Linked DNA regions of Mus musculus: regions 1, 2, 4 and 5 are each reported to be linked to region 3. The links are microRNA targets in miRTarBase. Many come from high-throughput screens and were not tested one by one. Region 3 holds a microRNA gene; each other region holds the end of a gene's coding sequence. Distances are between the middles of the regions.

Evidence for each region. The annotated mature microRNA mmu-miR-181a-5p reads AACAUUCAACGCUGUCGGUGAGU and lies in region 3 at 3,007-3,029, shown strand. An mRNA with a match to its seed (bases 2 to 7 or 8) in the 3' UTR can be bound and repressed. Matches are read on the target gene's strand: a 7mer-m8 pairs with bases 2 to 8, a 7mer-A1 pairs with bases 2 to 7 and ends in A, and an 8mer does both.
Region 1: miRTarBase lists Tmem168 as a target of mmu-miR-181a-5p. Seed matches in the 3' UTR shown: 8mer at 3,145-3,152 and 7mer-A1 at 2,997-3,003.
Region 2: the mRNA of Elavl4 is a reported target of mmu-miR-181a-5p. Seed matches in the 3' UTR shown: 7mer-m8 at 710-716.
Region 4: miRTarBase lists Creb1 as a target of mmu-miR-181a-5p. Seed matches in the 3' UTR shown: 7mer-m8 at 3,279-3,285.
Region 5: the mRNA of Ammecr1 is a reported target of mmu-miR-181a-5p. Seed matches in the 3' UTR shown: 7mer-A1 at 2,051-2,057.

The regions. Positions count from the first base shown.
Region 1 is chr6:13,579,421-13,583,420 of GRCm38, forward strand. It overlaps Tmem168 (transmembrane protein 168), which reads right to left. Exons shown (of 5, transcript NM_028990.5): 5 at 1,269-3,914. The coding sequence ends at 3,367. Among named protein-coding and RNA genes, the nearest start is that of Tmem168, 27 kb to the right of the region's middle.
Region 2 is chr4:110,202,803-110,206,802 of GRCm38, reverse strand. Elavl4 (ELAV like RNA binding protein 4) reads left to right here. Exons shown (of 7, transcript NM_010488.4): 7 at 102-3,066. The coding sequence ends at 471. Among named protein-coding and RNA genes, the nearest start is that of Gm33070, 52 kb to the right of the region's middle.
Region 3 is chr1:137,963,462-137,967,777 of GRCm38, forward strand. It overlaps Mir181a-1 (microRNA 181a-1), which reads left to right and starts at 2,994; the gene lies at 2,994-3,080. It overlaps Mir181b-1 (microRNA 181b-1), which reads left to right and starts at 3,178; the gene lies at 3,178-3,257.
Region 4 is chr1:64,596,829-64,600,828 of GRCm38, reverse strand. It overlaps Creb1 (cAMP responsive element binding protein 1), which reads right to left. Exons shown (of 9, transcript NM_009952.2): 9 at 1-3,595. The coding sequence ends at 3,451. Among named protein-coding and RNA genes, the nearest start is that of Mettl21a, 19 kb to the left of the region's middle.
Region 5 is chrX:142,852,080-142,856,079 of GRCm38, reverse strand. It overlaps Ammecr1 (Alport syndrome, mental retardation, midface hypoplasia and elliptocytosis chromosomal region gene 1), which reads left to right. Exons shown (of 6, transcript NM_019496.4): 6 at 433-4,000. The coding sequence ends at 547. Among named protein-coding and RNA genes, the nearest start is that of Ammecr1, 110 kb to the left of the region's middle.

The DNA.
Region 1 (4,000 bases), not on the chromosome of region 3:
AACTTCTGTTTATGCCTGTCATCTACTCTGACCACCTCTCCTGGGTGCATGTGATTCATACAGATGTGGGAAAAATCCATCATACCAGATTTATGCCAACAGCACTGTCTGTCTACTCTGCCAAGGAGGCTAAATGTGGTAACTGGGACAAATGTCACAGCATGGTGTTAATCCACATGAGACTATTTTTTTGAAACCCAATAGTTCCTCTAAAGATTTTGCAGATAGTTTTTAGTACAAAATGAGGGATGACTAGAGGCAGGATACTGCTGAATGGTAAACCAGTCTCATGCTCATAGAGTGATAGATTAGCTCTGAAAAATATATGGAGATTTAATTAGAAAGGAACAAAACCAAAGAGAAAAGAAAACAAAAACCAGGACTTGAGATGGTTGAGAAAGTGAAGTGATTTTGTAAGACAAAAGCAATAGGAGGGGAGACAAGTGAGGAGCTCTGCAAATACCAAAAGCACTGGCAACGTTCTGGGAATAAGGAAGCAGGGAAATCAAGAGGAAAGCTCGGAGTAGCCAGCAGAAGAGTGCACACATACATAGGCTATAAGGGAATGGAGCAACACGTAGGGCAAGGTGGACTCTTCACTGGCACTTGCTGAACTGAGTAATACACAAAAGGCACCTTTCAGTACATGAATGCTAGACACACGTGCAGAGACAACTGCTAAGGAAGACATCTGAGAATAATCAATGACTTACAGACTTACAGTTCTCACACGTGAACAAGGCTCTGGAACACAGCTGACGGACCCGGCAGTGATCTTCAGGTTAATATACTAATTATAAAGAGAAAGGGTTAGAAAATAGACCAACATACTAAGGGGTGTCATGAGTAGTAACAAGAAAGTCAATAGTACTATAGAAACCAAACATACAGGGGGGTAAGTAGTTAAAAGATGCTCTGGAAAGCAACAGAAATAATGCCTACTCACTTGACAATAGGGAGATAATTGGTGAGTTACCAGGAGTAATGTAAGCGGACTGCTGTGTGTGGGGCTTGGGTTGCTATGGGTATAATATACAGTGAAAGTTGAAAAAAAATGTGAACTTTTGTATACAAGGAACATGTTTGTGTACATACTGCTGTACATACATTTATAACCCATACAATGTAAGCCTGAAGGAGTTCCCTGTCAAAGCCTCAAGAACGCTCATCCTACCATGAGAGGAAAAGGACAGCAGACACACTACAGACATTTGATTGGAAAGTAGTAAAGGGTTCTGAACCAGAGCTGAGTCTGAGACACAATGTGGGTCTCAAATTAGCTTCAGAGCAGTTTATTATTCTGTCATTTTTGTAAGAGTCCACTGCCTTAGTTTCATAATTTATAAAATACAAATTTCTATGTTAAATTATTAAGAGCATTTGGGAAGGTGTAATAAAATCAATCACAGAAAAATACTTAGAATAATTAGATCATAGACAATACCCATGGCTGTGTATAGAGTTGTTTCATATGGAAAGGAAGAAAGGAATTGTAGGATTAGAGCTAGAGAGAGCAATGCCTTTCCACTTAGGTAGGGGAGCCTAGCTCCTGATACACAGATATGTGCACAGCAAGGTAACATCTCAACGCTAGTTTCCTTATTTAATTGTGGACCTGAAGAACCTAAAAATTATACAAAACTGATGTGAAATGGCACCCATCTGAAATTCAAGATGCACACAAATGAATGATTTATTCAGTGAAATTTACTATCTGTATTTCTAGTTGTAAAACAAGATTCATTTTTTAAAAAAAATATTGTATATAGGATGCCACTAACTTTCAATATTGTATCAATTCTTCAGTATTCTGGAATAAGGAAATATTTTCAAATCAACATGCCACCAAACATAAACTCTAAAAGCAAAGGCATTTTGTATAACTTCCACTTTTAATACAGTAAAATATTCAGGAACTCTTAATTTCACATTAAATGAAAAATTAATTTTTAACAAAATATTATTCAAAGTATTAAGAGTACAATATTCAAAACATAGAAATAGGCTGTAGCAATGCTGCATAGATAACAGTATACAAGTTCCCTGATGGTGTGACTTCTTTCTAAATAAAATGTCAGTTTTCAAGTCATTGGTAGAAAATGGTAGATGCATCCGTTACCTTCCCTCTCTGGGCATGGAAAAATGGCTTCAACGGTGAGAAGTCACCATGGTAACAAAGTCTAATCTCCACTTTAATTATACCTCCCTCTTTCAAAGATGAAAATCTAGAATGTAAGGATAATTGGAAGGGGACAGGAAGTGACTTACCTCTTAAGGAGATATCCTGATCAGCGCCTACTTTACTCCAACAAAACACTGAATTAAAGTTTACAAATTACAACCATACCATTATGCTTACCTAAAACTGCCAAAATGAATACTTTTTTACATAATACAATACAGGTATATAACAACAACAACAACAAAATGATCTGTTCCCATCCTTGACCTTCAGCAGAAAAAAGTTATTACAATAGGACTGAAAAGCAACTTTCATGGCAGAGTACTAACTCCTCATAAATACGTAAGACAGGAAGAATCGGTCAATGAGAAACTGATACATTTATTTTTGTAAGTGTGTACTTTTTGAAAAGAATGGCAATTTACTTGAAAGGAATTTGTAGCTGGAAATACTACTCATTAAGAAAACAAAATTACCCTGAGAAGGACTCTTAAATTTACCAGTATTTTCAAAGTCCCTCACTAACCATGAAGGAACACTTTGTAGCATGTAAGCTCTTATTGTTACCTACATTAACAATGCTTTCATCTCAAAGGCAGTTGGGGCTTTTCTGCTGTACTGTAAAGGTCATAGCCAAGACATCTGGGTGTGGTGGTAAAAGGGCATTTTGCAGTCATTATGAGCAGGTCTCTTCCTGCTCCAAGTATTTATACTTCTGCAAACAGTCCTGGGGCCAAACCTATATGAATCACACACATGAAAGAATCTCCTACTAAGTAAACTGGTAGTTCTCTTAAAACACACTTGTCTGGTCTACATTCTCTAACGGGTGCCTAGAAAATAAGGCATTAGGAATTGTCCATTGGCCACTCCAGAGCACAGACAACTGTGTTTCTTTTCATTGGAGACAAATGGAAAGTTATTTGAAAGTGCACTGTTACTTTTAACATCTCTTACACATTTACATTCAGCATTTTCATGACCCTCCATATACTTTTAGTATAAAATCATGCATATTCCCAATATCTTCCACATCCCATAATTACTTAAGAAAAGACAAAGTGAGAACAGCTACAAATGTAGCAAGATACTTTCCACAAATAAAAATACAGCATACAAAAAATGGCAAGTTACTGATAAATGGTAACATGAACTCTCAATAATAGCCTTCCTTGATGTCCACATTAAGATTTGACAAGTTTAAAGCCTTGTCCTGTGTCCAGCACTGTAGGAAGAAACCAACTCATTTTTAACCTTTTCAAGCACCTAAAACAAGCTTTGCAGACCCAAAAGAGGTTCAGGCCACATAACCAGTTGGCCAAGTGCACTAACGGATACGTAACCCGAGGGAAGTGTAACATCCAGTGCTTGGCCACATCGCTTCCTGTCGGCAGGTGCAGCGTGTAGTCGCTCCAGCGCTTTGACACGCCATACACGGCCCTCACTGTGCGCCCCTTCTCAGTCCAGCAGATGTTGTTTGTGGAGTTACAGTTGTATTCTACCCAGTCTCTAGTAAAGTCACCCAGCTGTGGCGGGTCAGCTTCTTCAATATCTACTGTCTTCGCCAGCTCAGCTCCCTGAACTGCAACATACTGGTCATTAATCTTTCTCACTTCTTTCACCCATGGGGTTGAATTCTCGCTGTCTAAGATGATGATAAGCCGGGAACAGAAGGAACCGTTCTTCTCTCTCCACCATTCTAAAAGCGTATCAAGGCGAAGTATGTCTCCACCTGTGGACAAGAATACAGTTGCTATAGCGGTGGTTTCTTAAGTCTGTTTCTTTAAATTTTTAGAATACTTAAACAACAGCGATAAC
Region 2 (4,000 bases), not on the chromosome of region 3:
TTGCATTTTGGTTTTGAAACCCTGAAGACTCTCCTGCAAACACTCACTCAGCCCTTTGCCCCGTGTCTGTGTCTGTGCATCTGTGTGTCATCCATGGTCAGACTGATGTCTGGACCAGTCCCCCCTTCTGCTTGTCCCCCCAGGTTCTCCCCAATCACCATTGACGGGATGACAAGTCTTGTGGGAATGAACATCCCTGGTCACACAGGGACAGGCTGGTGCATCTTCGTCTATAACCTGTCCCCTGATTCTGATGAGAGTGTCCTCTGGCAGCTCTTTGGCCCCTTTGGCGCAGTGAACAACGTCAAGGTCATCCGTGACTTCAACACCAACAAGTGCAAGGGATTCGGCTTCGTCACCATGACCAACTACGATGAGGCAGCCATGGCCATCGCCAGCCTCAATGGCTATCGCCTGGGAGACAGAGTGTTGCAAGTTTCCTTTAAAACCAACAAAGCCCACAAATCCTGAATTTCTCACCCTTACTTATTAAAATATATATATAAATATATACGAACAAAACATGCGCGCACACACATACACAAAAGAGAGAGACAAACTTTCCAAGGCTTATATTCAACCATGGACTTTATAAGCCCGCGTTGCCTAAGTATTAAAACATTGGATTATCCTGAGGTGTACCAGGAAAGGATTTTATAATGCTTAGAAAAAAAAAGAAAAAAAAAACAAAAAAATACCTTTGATGCATTGAATGTTCTTTCATAGCTGTCGTTGTTGAATATAATATACATAGATAGCAATGTGCAGGGATTTTTACCCAGCCAGCTAACTTTACCACCTTCCTTGAAGGTGGGTCTTTTTAAGATGACCATTCGCTCATTTGAAGAAGAAAAACAAAAAACACAAAAAAATAACAAACAATTTTTACAAAGTAATGGAATTCAAAGGAAGAAAAAAAAGATTTTTCTTTTTTGTCAAAAATGTTGATCCAATCAGATTGGTTAAAAAACCCCCACACAAATTAAAGAGGAATAATAAAAATTGCAAAAATGAAAAAAAACTTTTGCAAATTTTTTTATTTTTCCTTTTTCTTTTATATCATGTGAACTAAAACAGTCTTCTGTTAGGGGACGGGGAAAGGGGGTGTACCTGATGACATTAACAATTTAATAACATTAACATTGTTGCCAAAGAGGTGGTCTCTTTGCTGAAAATGGGTTTCAAGAAAAATCTATTTTTATAAAATATAAAGAATTTTTACAAGAGAATCTGGATTTGAGAAAAAATATTTTGACTGGCTAATTTAGGGGAAATTGACAACTTTGTCGCGTTCATACTGCACTGGTAACTTTTTAGAGATCAAGATGTGTGTTTTAAACTGGATTCGTAGACTGTTTTTTGAAGGATGGGCTATAAACAGATGATCTTCATATCTTTTCATAGCATGTAATAATAATAAAAAATATTAATTGCTAGGGAAAAGGAGTGTTCGTTCTACCCAGGGTACCACAGTTCCCCACAGTCAAAACCCAAAAGCAAGGAGATGAGTTGAAAGACAGTTTTTCTTTAAGTCATCAGTATGGGATGTCAGCAGAACAAAAATTAAAAAGATTCATTTTCCTTTTAATCTAAAACTTCCTTAGTTTGAGCAGTAGGTGCTACAGAATTATTTACATATCTTAGTATCATAGTTAAATGTAAGCGTGTTTAGGAGAGGAGACACAAGATACATTTGCTTTACATTCGTTAAGCAATTTTCTAATTCACTTTGTAGCCCGTGCTGATAAAATTGGGCTGTGTGGGTACATTTGAAACACTGTTTATGTTGCTTGAAACACTTATTTATTTAATTGCAGATGTGATGATGATGCCTCTGGCCAAGATCAAATATAGCTAGATTGGCTAGACTACTTGTTTGTTTACTTAGACTTTGGGAAGAAGCATATTACTGTGTCCTTCTGTTGTGTGTGTGTATGTGTACATATAATATAAATATATATATAAAGTTATTTTTTTCCTTTGGTTAATTTATTATAAGTTGTAACACTTGGCTAGTTTTGTTTGTATATGTCTTAAGATGTTTTCTTATGATATTTAAGTGACAGTTAAAGAGGTATCAAGGTAACTTGTGTAGAACTATTGTTTGATATATTGTCATGTTTGTTGTGAATATTTTTTCTTACTGCACAGTAGAAAATTAAAAAAAAAAACTGGGTCTTTATTTTAATGTAATTCAGATTGGGGAAAACTAAACAGAGCTAAGGGAACAAAAGGACCGTGGGAGCAAACTCCCACGTCCAGTGCACTGATCATTTTAGTACGTTTGTGCTTTGTATGGTTATATATTTAAAACAAAAATGAAACAAAAAAAAATACAAGAGTTCATGCTCTTCCCTGGGTAATAGAAACAGTTACTCGCTATGCATAATCTAGTTGATAGTAAAATTTGCTATTGCTTTTCTTGTCTTGTTACATAAAATCTTTTCAATACAAGTTTAGTCTTAATGGTAATAAAACGTTATGGTTATTTATAACTTGTGCTTATTTTGTGCATTTTTTCCCATGCTGAACCCACTAAGTGCATGTAGACAGGACTGTTGTTTGCACATTGAAGAGGCAAACTTTGTAGTAGTCGTTGTAGTGGTAGACAGATAACGAAAACCGAGGCTGCATCATAGACTACTCCTTTAAATTTTTTTTCTATTTTTTTTTCCTCTTTTCGGTTTTTGGAGAAAAATAAATAACACCAGATTTCAGTTCAGAGAACACTCGTTCAACATTCAGGGAAACCTTTATATGTCACCTGCTATGAATGAATGCAGTTTGCTGGCAAAGTTCTGATGCATTTGCTAAGCATTCATGGGAAAGGCATGCCAAAATCTCTTCTCTATGATGTGTTCAATCTGAGGGAAAAAAAAGGAAAAAAAATCTTAGGACCAGGCAGTTGTATACTTTAGTTATAAATGAATGACTTCATGTTAATCTTGCTAGTTTAGATGATTTCTGAGGGAAAGTATTGTAAATGTTTTTTTTTCATAATCTTGTTGTGTTTGAATTATTTGTACTTTATCTGTCCAGACAATAAATGAAAGTGTGTAGAATGAATTTGAGCTTCCCAAATTTTTAAATGTGTTTATTCGAACTTTTTTTTCCATAGTCTATGCAGAGTTCCCTGATATGCTCTCGTTACATAAATAAAGGAATAGAGTAAAGTTCTGTTTTGCCCCTTAGCCCGCTCTGTCAAGGTTACTCAGTATTTAGAAGTCATTGCCCTAATTGTATGCTACTTAAAAGTATGGTCCCTAACAGGCAGTACCTTGTCCTCCGAGAGCCCGTTAGAAATGCAGAGTCTCGGGCTGAAGGCAAATTTATACAGAAGCAGATCCGGGATGAATCACAGGCCCTTTAAAGTTTGAGGCACACTGTCTATTTGGTAAGCCAGAAGATTTGGTATTTCCTGTGGCATTATGACATGTTCCTATCAGTTATTTATAAGAATACCTGTGGCATGTTAGGAAGACAAAGGTCACTATTTACAAAGCACCCATAATGCTTCAGCCAGGCTGTGTGGGGATTACTATATATATTCTGTCACTTAATTCTCTCAGCAGTCTGTGAAGAGCAGCTAGCATCATCCACATGTCACAGGGGATGCGGGCAAGGCTCCATGAGTCGAGTAACCTATGGAGGATGCGGACTACTTGTTCTGACAAGAAAGATCATCTTTTATCATTGAGCTCACTTTTATTTAGAAGAAGCAAAGACATGACTTTCTATTTGAGAAGGAACTCGGCACAGAGACTTGCTTGTGCAGTGTAAAAAGGTCAGGACTTATCCACGACCTATGAAGGTTAAAAAGTGTCTTCCTTATCATGAAGTCACGTTAAAATCTGCCCTGAACTTTACAGAATGAGTGTTTTATCCGTTTCTGAATGTGATCCTTCCTTGATGATCTACTGTCTGTCTTTCATTTCCATTTTCTCACTAATTGAAAATTCATAATGCCCAATAAAACATCCACCATCCGTAAACTGACACT
Region 3 (4,316 bases):
CAACAGAAATAGACATGGACATTAAGAAGTGGCGTCTTGAGAACACCAACTCCAGTCATTCTGGAATCTTCTTCATCATATTTCACAGAGGGCATGCGCTTGCTTTGGAAAGGAGGAGGCAGTAATGTTTCCTACTGCGAGTATGACATTTCTTACTTCTTGCATTTTGAAAAGAGTCATATTCACAGCAGAAAACTAGTTTTTAATGAGCTTATGAATGTGTTCCTACCCCAGACCACGAAGACAATTTCCAGCTGACTAGAATTTAAGGATGAAATGTGCGTGGCAGCGCCATCTCCTTCCCTCTCATTTGTCAGATCAATGCCCCCATCCCAATTCAGGTCAAGGCATCCGGCAGAAGAGAGGGCTGCAGAGTGACAGTGAGATGCTCTATTTCACACACTTGCCCTCTGGAAAGGACTGGCAGAGGCAGTCACTTAAATTAAATACAGGTCATCAAACAAGATATACAGTCTATTTCTAAAACAGACAAGCCCAGCATCCCGAATCCCTGTGGCCTTTTACTGAGGCGCACTGTGCTTCTTTTTCATGCTCCTCTGTCAATTCATGTTAAAGTTTGCTTTGCTTAAAAGTGATATTTCATGTATTCTCTGACCCTCTTGCTCAAAGCAAAGAAATTGCTTTGGTTTATTTATGACCCGCTAACCTTAAGCAAAGCTGAACTTCTTAATGCTTCCAAAGCCCCGGGAGGAGAAATAAAAGCTAAAGTAAATTTGGCAATGGTGCAAGTCAGTTTTAACCTGTCCAGAAGACCTTCCAAAAATTATGAAGGGAGAATGGTTGCCTACGTGCACACAAATGACATATTTCTGGTGGCTCTTGATTCAGGAAAAACTGCAAGGAAGCAGATGGTTAACACCAATTTAGAATCCTGGAATCTTAACATTTTCTAAAAATAGTCAAATAAGACTCGACACCTGACAGAAAATGTAAAATTTCAATACTGTCCAACATTAATATTCCAGCCAATTATCAAATTTGGAAAATAACAGTGCAGACAAGGTTAGCTAGTAAAATAGTGATTGGAACCAGCATTGTAGAAAGCCGAGGAAAGGTAAGCTAAATCAGCAAGTAGACATCTTTCCCCTGTAGAATACCGTCCTGAAGTTATTCTCTTACTGTGAGGCAGGTGCAGCAAGAGCAGAGGTGCTTTTCCTCATGGAGAGTGAGTTTAAGTTATTGAGAGGTTTTTCTCATCAAAAACTATAGCCATGAGAAAAGTACATGTTTCATTGGATAAATAGGAGTTAAAATATGTCAGTGATGTGATGTTTAATCTAATTTCTTACTAAACACCAATCACTTTCAATCTCCTAAGAACTTCATGATAGTATTCTCCGTAATTTTATTCTAAGAATTTGAGAAATTTGGACTTATATTTTCTACAGAGAATTTTAGAAGGTTCTGGAAACCCCTCACATTGCGGTGCTTTGCTATTAATTGTGATTCGGATGGAAATTGCTTGATCGTAGTTCCAATTTTGTATATTGAGATAAGGCAATGATCATGGCTTAGAGTCTCAGCTCAGCAGCCTTGAAAAAATGATATCAAAAGCAATGACAGGTATGTATAGAAGCAATGGGATGCTGGCCTGAATATGATAGTGCAGTGGTCAAGCAAGGGAACATGAGCAACATGCATTCTGGTGAAACTGATAACACAGATGGTCCCAGGAAGACTTGCTTTCCTTCCACAAGAGACAGCCCTCTGCAGGAAAGCTATCTCAAAGGAAGCCACACAGGACTATTCAGATTCATCAGTTTTATGTCTTGTAACTATCTGAAGTCTGAATGCATGCCATCAGCAGATCGTTACCTTATCTACCTCAAAATACCAGCCAGAGACACTTGTCCTGTAATCTCTTCGTGTACAAGATAATAAATGATTACAGGTTTAGCATACAATATTCTAAGTAAATAAAATGAATATGTATAAAAATTTGGACTGAATGGTTCACCAATATTTTATTAATAGTTACACACACACACACACACACACACACACACACACACACACACACACACATATATATATATATATATATATATATATATATATATATATATATATACTTATTAAAGCCACTTAAGAGTCTACATAAGTATAATGTAGTAACTTTCTACCCTAGTTTTGAGGAGTACAAAGGGATTTTTGTTTAAGTTGATATTTGAAATCAGTTTTGAAGACATGCTCAATAGAGTTCATACTAACTTGTAAATGCACTTCATTTCAAGAACACCTAGGAAATGGATAGAAGTTACTGCCAGATCCACTCAATCAAAACAAATAACAATATTAGGATATAATAACCAAAGTGAGAGGAGTTGAATTTCAGGCAGTAGGCATAGGTTGTATTAATTTTCATTGTAGTTTAAAGTCTTGTGTCATAAGCAAAGAAAGATGTGCTAAATTGGTTTGATTCCTTGATTGTTTTAAAAATAAGTATGTTTAAAAGAAATTATACTAATTAAAATGCCTATTGTAAAATAAATGCTTATTCCATGCACATTGTAAACATAGAAGTTCAAAATTGTTAGCAATGTAACTTGAGAAAACCTAAGTGGTTTCTGCTTGATTCTGCATGACCTACATGCGTCCTTGCAGTTCTTATTATATACATACCAATATTTAAATTATGAGATACTTAGATACTATTTGTTTTGCTTTTTGATAGTTCCAATTTTGTTGAATGATAAATTCTCCCTGTCTTTAACAGCCTGTAACTAAGCTCCCCCCAAAAGGACTTTTCTTCCCTTTTGAAAAAAAAAAATCCGATTCTTTTCTTTGACACAGCACAAAGTGGAGGTTTGCCAAGCTCTGGGCTGGAGGAATCCTGCTTCTTTTCTTCTGTACTCTTTTGAAATGGTTTAAAATGTGTGACAGGTTTGGTTAAAGGATTGGGCTTTCCTCTGCCTCCCTCCTGCTCCAGACTCCCACAGATACTGTTTAAATCAGCACATCTCTGCCTCACAGGTTGCTTCAGTGAACATTCAACGCTGTCGGTGAGTTTGGAATTCAAATAAAAACCATCGACCGTTGATTGTACCCTATAGCTAACCATCATCTACTCCATGGCCCTCTGCGTTTGCTGAAGACAGAACCGCAAAGCAGGACCCGACAGGATTCTCCCCGCCTCTTCAGAGACTATGTTTACAAAGGTCACAATCAACATTCATTGCTGTCGGTGGGTTGAACTGTGTAGAAAAGCTCACTGAACAATGAATGCAACTGTGGCCCCGCTTTTTGCTGTCGCAATCAACAGACGTTCCCTCCCTAATAGAGGTCCTGGGGGTATTAACGCCGTTTCTCGGTTTAACTTCTGCTGTCTGAACTTTCAGGTTTGTTTATTCAATTCATATCAAGTCCTATTTCTGTGAGGAAGTCACTAATTTATATAAGAATACTGCTTTTCTATACTCCTGGGGGTTACAAATGGGGCATTTCTTAAAAATGCTAAAGTGTTGGATGCCCAGAATCAACTGTGTAGCCCTGGGTTGGCACGGCTTCCTGCTCTGCTGTGCTGGTGGGAGGAAGAACCAAAGAAATATCTTACTTCCTGCCCCGTTATCCGTCACATTGTTACACAGAAAATAACCATCCCCTCATCTTTCATTAGATTTCTTGGTCAAAATGGGCTTGAAGCAAGAGGGAATTCTTTTGCTCTGCATAAAGAATCGCTGAAATGGCTCTACTCTCTATGGAATTGGTAGGCAGAGGGATAGTACCTCAATAGCCAAGTACTTTGTTATCCAGGGGCTCATTATAATCATGCAATAGATTTGTTTCCCCAGAGAGACCTCAGATTTAAGATTATAGTTCATCATCTTTATTTACCCTCTACTTTCTTCTGAAATGGTAGACTTGATTCCAGGGACTGTCTTCAAGCAAGTGTGTGTGTGTGTGTGTGTGTGTGTGTGTGTGTGTGTGTGTGTGTGTGTTTCCTAACTAGTTTGGCTCTATAATTTCAAAAAGAACATCTGTCATTAAGGTTCATCACCTCCAATAGTAAGTACAGTGGTTGGAGTTAATATTTATAACAGGATGTTCAGCATACAGTGTGTACATGGTACCTAGTACATGGTACCTAATAGATTTTAATTCGTTGGGAAAAAATCTATCAAACATATTGTCCTTTCTCTCTCTTGATCAGTTTATTATGATATACATTCAACTCCCACTACAGAAATCCATTCCTGGGACCTTGCTCTAGTGTTCAGAATATTCATTCCCACAGTATTTTACGTAGTTAGTTCACAAGTGCCTGCCTTGCTTGGGGCATCTCTATCTATCATAAC
Region 4 (4,000 bases), 73 Mb from region 3:
TAGAGAAACCGATTTGTGTTACTAGCTGACGAGTCAACAGAGAACCAAAGCTTCCTAAACAGGAAAGGCAACATTTTGACTGAAGTCACTTCAAGTACGTAAAAGCATTCCGGGTTATATAAATGTTTGTTTCTAAGCCCCAATATTTGTATGATTCCATGTCACCCTAAATGGTCGAAAATAGTAGGGAGGAGTCCTGAGAGGCAGAGACCGGCTTCAGCCAAGAGGGCTTCTGGCTGGACAGCCTGCCTGACTGGTTTGTGCTTTAGACAGTAGCACTGCTTGCTGGCCTACCATCAAAACACATCTTGACAAAAATCCCTGTTCAAATGAAACATGAAAAGTCTTTGCCCAAAATGATTCTTGAAACAATTCTCTTAAAACCTTTTTTCAAAATGTTCTTACCAATTTTATAGCTGCCAGAAACAAAGCAGGGGGAAAAGAGCTTGGGGTTTAGGAGTTTTTAAGTGACTGGTAACATACTCAAAAGCATCAAGCCAAACAAAACAAAAACCTAATAAAAAACTGGAAGAAAAGAGAAAACCCAGTTGTGAGTGCTGGAGTAAAACAGTCACTGAAACACCAGAAGAGATGCAGGAGAAAGCACAGCAAAGTGGAATCTCACCGGACCTCAATACGCTATAATACTCAGCATTCCTGACATACCAGCTCTCAGAGCATTTAGATGATATACTGTATGTATGTATATATGTACACATATATTACAAAATGCCACGTCCCCACCCACACTATACCATCTAAACAAGCACAGCACCTAGGACAATATGATGGTTGCTAATATGGTACTTGCTTTTGATAAAGAACTTAAATTGTATCTCATATCAATTTTTTAAATATGAACATATTGGATCTAGCCCTTTCTAAACCATTTTTCAGTTAAACACTATCAAAGCTTGAAAACTCAGAAGAGTAATATATCAAAAATAAACCTATCCCCATTTCATTTTTATTAGAGTTAATCTGCCCTATAGATAAAAGTGCCACTATATATATGCAAAGTGAGCAGTACCAAACTTCTATTCTCTAGGCAAATCAGTAGCATATGTACAGATTCCTATGACAGTTCCATTCCCTTTTGGCCAACATGAAGAGAAAACATTACCGATAATGTGGCCACATACAATTTTGGATATAAGAGTTTTTAAAAAATTATGTCATTTTCTTAATAAAGATTCTCCACATAGCTCAAAAACAAGTTTTTGTTTTTGTTTTTCTCATTCTCATGTTAAAAAAAAAATCCAGCTTGCATTAAAGAGGCTTTGATTTCTTTCTGTATGAACTGAAATTTCAAAGTCAGGTTTCACAACACCATATATTTCTCACATTATCAAGTAACTGGTGTCAAACTAGTACAGTCATGCTCCAAGCATAAAGACCCAGGCCTCTGTAAATTAATATCCATCCAACTAGGAAGTATGGCTGAGACTGCCTTGGTCTCTAAAGGGTTAAGGAGACCACCTGTTTCCTCATTATGTAGAAAACCTCGACTTTTGAAGATAGACACTTAGAGATTACAACTTCTGCACGCTAGGCAAATTTTCCACTTGTGACATTTAAAATGTTCAATCTGACATTCTGACTTAATGTGAAGTAATTCCAGTTTGTTGACAGATTTGTGATTCTGCTTCCTTTTTGTTTCACCACGTTTAGCAAATGATACATCTACTTGCTAGCACAGACAGCTTTTATGCTATCTCCTTCCCAGCAAGCTCAGCAGGACAAAGATCAAACTTTAGCCGTTTGAAAGCCTTCTGGAGAATCTGGTGAACTGTCCAGACAGAAGGATTATTACATCACTCAACTCCTAGAATCATGTCCTTCACAAACTGTTCATCCTTGAAAAAAGACAATGGTTTGTTATAAACAACGTAGAACATTTACAGATAGCAACCTAGTCTTAGCTTAGAAATGGGCCAAACAGTTCCCGCTCATACGTATACTGATATTAATATTAACTTTCTTAATATCCCAAAGCAAATATAAGACACTCTTCTGAGTCTGAGTTCTTCCTCAAACGTGAAGTAACCTAACATGCCAGCCTCCACTGTCCTCATATTTGTCTTTTAAAGAGGTAACTCTTAGATTTTATTAGGTTTAATAAAAAAAAAATGAGTTATTACTAAGTCTTATCAGAAACAATGTTACACATAAATGTAGACTATAGGTAAGGATGTAAGTAGAAACATCTTCAGAAACAGAACAGCTTTTGGATAGTTAAAGCAGTACCACCTTTTTTAGGAGAAAAAAAAAAGTGTTTGCCAAATATTGTACCATAGCACACACTCCAATGTCTGAAGGAAATTACTTTTCTTGTGTGCATTTAACACAATGTTTTAGAATCACATCCTTGTAACTTCTTTGATTTAAAAAAAAAAATCCCAAGAGATTCTCTGATAAAAATATGACTATAGAAAAGGTTGTCTATTTAGTACTTTCCATCACTTTGGCTGGACATCTTGAAAACGCTCCTGTTGGCTGCACAGTGTAAATGCAGCAGTGGACTAGGTAAATGAGTGACAGTATGAGGATTCGGAAAGCAAGGACAAAAGTCTTTATTTATTAAACACCTTATTGTATAACTCAAGGAGTTAGCTTCCTGGCCAGCACCTACTCATTAAGACTTAGTACTCACCAGAATAAGCTTTATAGTATGATTTTAACTTAACTCAAAATTCAAAACCATGCTTTCCATTCAGTTGGTTACTTCTGTTAATGTATTCAAACTGCTGAACACACAGAACTGAATGAAGAAGCAACAACTGCCCTACAGAGGAACTGTAGCCAATACCGTGCTTCTCAGCACCAAGGACAACTTGTCAGTGCTGAAGAAAGGAACATACATATAAAGTTTACTCCCAACACCACACTAATATCCTTATTTAAAGGATGTTTTTAATAGTTCGACATAATTCACAATGAAAGTGTAAAAACATTAATTTGGCAGTCAACACTTCTTCATTGCACCTTCCTTACTTTCCTGTGTGGCCCACACATTACGTCAGCTCAGCAGGCTGGGTAACTGTCCCTAAGGCAATCATGGAGCTCAACAAACCTTGAAGTCATTAATAAGAAAACAAACAAAACAAACCTAAAACAAAAATAAGAAAGCCAAGATTTCATTTTCCTCATTTCCCCCAACAATTTACAAATAAGCAAATGATTACTTCTTGAGGGTGGTGGAGACGGAGGGCAGAAGTCTCTTCATGATTCCTGGCGCTGCACATTTCTTGAGGGCAGAAGTGGAAGTAGTTTTTGGAACATTCACAGTTTAATGCAAAAGCAGAAATGAATGAAATTCTGTAGTTGCTTTCAGGCAGTTTTGCGCATAGAAAAAAAGAAATGTTTAGAAAATAAATGTTTACTTGTCTTTCTGGTTGTGGCCAAGCCAGTCCATTCTCCACCGTAACAGGAGAGAACTTAAATCCCAAATTAATCTGATTTGTGGCAGTAAAGGTCCTTAAGTGCTTTTAGCTCCTCAATCAATGTTTTGTTTTGGTTTTCAAGCACTGCCACTCTGTTCTCTAAACATTTCACATATTCTTTCTTCTTTCTACGACATTCTCTTGCTGCCTCCCTAAAAATGAAAAACACAAAAAAATTTATGTTCATAAACTCCATTCCACTAATTTTAGAACAGAATGTTTTCTAGAGAAACAGCTGAAATAAGCAAACGTTCAGTATTATACAAGAAATGCTCAGGAAATGATACTGGCATTGCCTGATGCGGCAGCACACTGGTAATGCCCCTTGCTGCTAAGCTGGACAATCTGAGCGCAGCCCCTGAACCCCACATGGCTGATGGTGAGAACCTACTGCTTCTTCTTTACTTATCTGCTCCCATGCATGTGTACACGCACTAGGTAAAAAATGTATCTTTTCCAACTACCTAAAAATAGCTCAGTAGGTAAAGTACCAACGCACAAGCAGTGGACTGGATTCAGATGCTTAGCACCCTGATAAAAGCCCACAACGGGCTCAG
Region 5 (4,000 bases), not on the chromosome of region 3:
ACAAAGTGAGAGGGCTTCAGTACTGACGTGTAGCATAGAGCAGACCCAAGATGTGTGAACAAAGGAAGAGTAAAGGGGGAAGTGATGGAAGGTCTCTGCTATAAAAGGAGCCCAATGAATGAGATGTGTCTATGATGGCGATAGAGACATGATGGTAAAAGATAGCCTCTTCCTTGTTCCTTCCTGATAGCAAAGTGGGTAAAAGGGACAATGTCATTCCTGGAGTAGAAGGGCAGAAAGAGCACTAAGATCAGTGTTCTGATCTCAGCTTTGCTGCTTACCAAGTCTGTGACTTTGGGCTACTAATTGCTTCTCTCATGGCTTCTTGTTTCCCACTATATAAAATGATCTCATAGAGTCCCTCTGGCTCTGATAATAGCATACCATGTGTTTCTCAATGTTAACTTTTCTCTTCCCCGCCTTCCCCTTCAGGTACCGTAGTGAAAAGATGACCTTGAGTTATGCTGAATACCTTGCTCATCGCCAGCATCATCATTTCCAAAATGGCATCGGGCATCCCCTTCCGCCATACAACCATTATTCCTGACACTGAGCCGCACAACCAGTCACTGGGCCTCTCTGCAGACCTCTTCCCAGGAGACCCTACACCTTCTTGGTCTAGCTATCTCTTTTACTGTACCATTTTATGATGATAGTTTCCGTTGCCATGGTGAAGCTTCGACATTGTTAGTTAAGAGCATCATGGTAACGGGTAGGACAATGGCATTTGTTAAGAAGATCCTGTTTTATTATTTTAGATCACTGAATTTTTTTTTCAGCACATACAGCTTTTGAAGTTTTCTTTCCTTACAATATTAGGTATCTTTTTTTGCTTTGCTATCTCAGACAGGTTTCTGTCTTTCTTTGTTCCTTTTTTTCTTCCTCCTTCCTTCTTTTGACTGTGGATGGAAGAAAGTATGCTGTTTCTGAGGGTTTATTAGATTTGTCTTTAGTATTCTTCGGTAAGATTGTCATTTTTTGATAGCTGAGTTGGGGATTAATTCTTAACAAATTCAGGTATTTGTATATTACTCATGAATTTGCCTAAAATTCTATTTGCTATGACAGCTTAGTATTTGGGTCAAGTACACATTTTTTCCCATGGTTGAAATGAGTGAGCTTTAGAGTAAGTAATGAACATTCAGAGGTCCATGATAGGACTTGTCACAGAGAGCAAGGAACTGTTTACGCCTTCTGTGCTTCTGTGTTACTGTAGAAGAGACTGCCTCATGTTATAGAACAATTTACAACCTACAACACTGTTTTAGAAAAGCATAAGCTACCTTTCAAATGGGCCGCGGAAATCATTGTGAAAGGCAGCATATATTGGGAAGAGATTAGATGCAGAACTTAGTGCCTTTGAGAAGACTATAATTAAGTCAAATTAAGAGGGGTTTAAAAAGGCAATTTAGAGAATATTCTTATAAAATTTTATTGTTTCTATATAAGAAACAACAGATTACACAAATTCCTTACTCCAAAGTATTTTTTTAGCTGAAAAAAATTATTTTGAGCAAATAACCAAAAAGACATTTGTCTATTTTGTATTCATTTAAATTTGTTAGCTTTAGGTTTCAATGAGTCATAATTGGCCAGAGACAACTTTAGCTACTAAGACATGATAAAGATAATCTAGTGAAACAAAAGTTCATACATACTATGATTTCAAATTTGTCTATCACAGAGACAATGCTGAGTTTCAGAGATACTACAAAGAGTTTGAATCTCTTTCTGCACTACAGCCTTTTGATAGAAACACATTTCTGTGTTGACAGATAATATGGTAGACCTGTAAAGATGGCATTCAGATATGTTAATTAGAGCCTAGCTCATTTGCAGGGCTATACTTCCCATGGCACAAAGAAAACTTACTGATGTCAATGGGAAACCCTTTTGTTTATCCCCAGGAAAACTCATGATGATTCTGGCAAAAGATGACCTTTGTTTTATGGTAGTATATATATAGGTATATAGAGATATATATATTTGGGAAATATATAATTTTTTCAAACAGGAAGTCATTAGAACAAGTGGTGAGTGAAATGCTGCAGAATGTATATTCTACAACTATGACATACCGCTAATTATTGAAATAGTCAAGCTTATACATTTAATTGCTGTGACAAGTGACAGACTGGTAGTTCAGAAAATCCTTGTCTAGTTTGTAATTGGCTGAATTCATTGTCCTTGCCATCAGGGCAAAGTACACAGCTTCAGTTTTTGAGAGTTCTTTGAAGTTTGGTATTTCTTCATCCACAGAATCCATTGTTGACGTATCCATTTTCAGTTATGATGCCTTAACTAAGAAGCTACTTGCTAGCCTGAAAGACAGTCTCAGTAGCCAGTTCCATTGAATACAGAGAAAACATAAGCTGCTGAGCTTTAGCATGGGCTTCTAAGTCCCGTTGTTTCTCCTTGGACACACTTTGTGGGTGGATTAGTCTTTCAGTATAGAAGCAAGCTGCTACCTGACATTTTCTTGCCCTTATAGGGAAAGTGAGCACAAGCTGAATGATATTGTCTGCTAGGAAAAGAGAGAGCGAGCGAGAGAGAGAGACAGAGAGAGAGAGAGACAGAAAGACAGAGACAGAGAGAGAGAAGAAAGGAAAGGGGAGAAAGAAAAGAAAAGGAAAGAGAAACGGAAAAAAGAGAAGTAAAGATAACATAGAAACTGAAGAGAGACAGACTAGACCAATCTTGTTGTGAAATCCATCTACTCCATCATCTCATCATTTCAGAGCTCCTCAGCCCGGGGGAGCGTACGGCTAGTTTTTTGTTGTTGTTGTTGTTTTTAAAGAAAAGATCTATCACATACATATATGCGTGTATGTCTCCATATACTTACACATGCATACATGCATATGTGTGTGTTTATGTATTTAACGGTGCTAATCAATCTTGAGCAGGTCACGTGACTGGTCATGCGGACTCTAAAATCATATCAGATTTTTTAAAAAATCCTTGATATATGCAGATATTATACAGATTTTCTTACCGGTGTAATAATGTTCTACTGAAGAATAACCATCCTGCAGGCTTCAAAGGACGAGGTCAGCAATATTTCCCACCATGGCTTGGGGGGAAAGGATAGTTTTGTCTCCTTTTGTATTCAAGTTGATGCATAGTGCATTTTTGTGTCTAAGTAGCTGTTGACTAAAAGACTTTGTAGTGTAAAGGGTGTTATACAAACTATAATGGTGTGCTTCAAACAAACCAATGCTAGGCCCTTTCACTCTTGTTGTATATGACAAAGTTGTTAAATATGTGGTTTGAAATAACTTTGAACATGTGGAAATATGTAGCATGTGTCTTTAACTCAGACAAAGATTCTAATTGCACAAGTTGTGTTCTAGCCAGTTGTGGTTTATTTGTTCAGAAACACAAATGTGAATTGTACTCTTTATCACCAGAATATTGTATGAGTTCCGTGATCTTTAAACAGCTCAGAAGTAATACTTGAACTTCATTTGAATAGCACAAAGTTTACAGAGCCCCTTTTAAATGTTAATTAGTTCCAGTTAAGTTTTCCTTTAATTTTTTCTTTTTTTTTTTTTTTTCTTTTTTCAAATGCAACTGGGTATTTTCTTGGAAAACAATGTGTAGTTTATTTTTGGTATGTAGCAAAAGGCTTCCAATTCTGGAAGGTTTTATTGTTCTTAAACAAGGTCAGCCAGGTACCAGATTCTAAAAAGAACAATTGCCCCCCCCCTCAAGTGGCCTTCTGATTGCACGAATGTGCTACTCCCCTCTCCAATCCCCCCTCCCTTGAGGAGGTCAGTGAAAGTGATGGAGGAAGTGCAAGGCTTGCTCTCCCCTCCCCTCCCCTCCCCTCCCCCCCACACCTCACCTAGGATGTCCACTCCAATGCAAATGGTTCCATTGCACACACAGCACACCGCACACCGGGAAGTTTGTATACTGGCCTCTTTTCCTGTCTTCAAATGTGCAAGAATTTGAAAGTGTCATCTGGAATAGGTTCCATCTCTTATGTGTGTTAGAG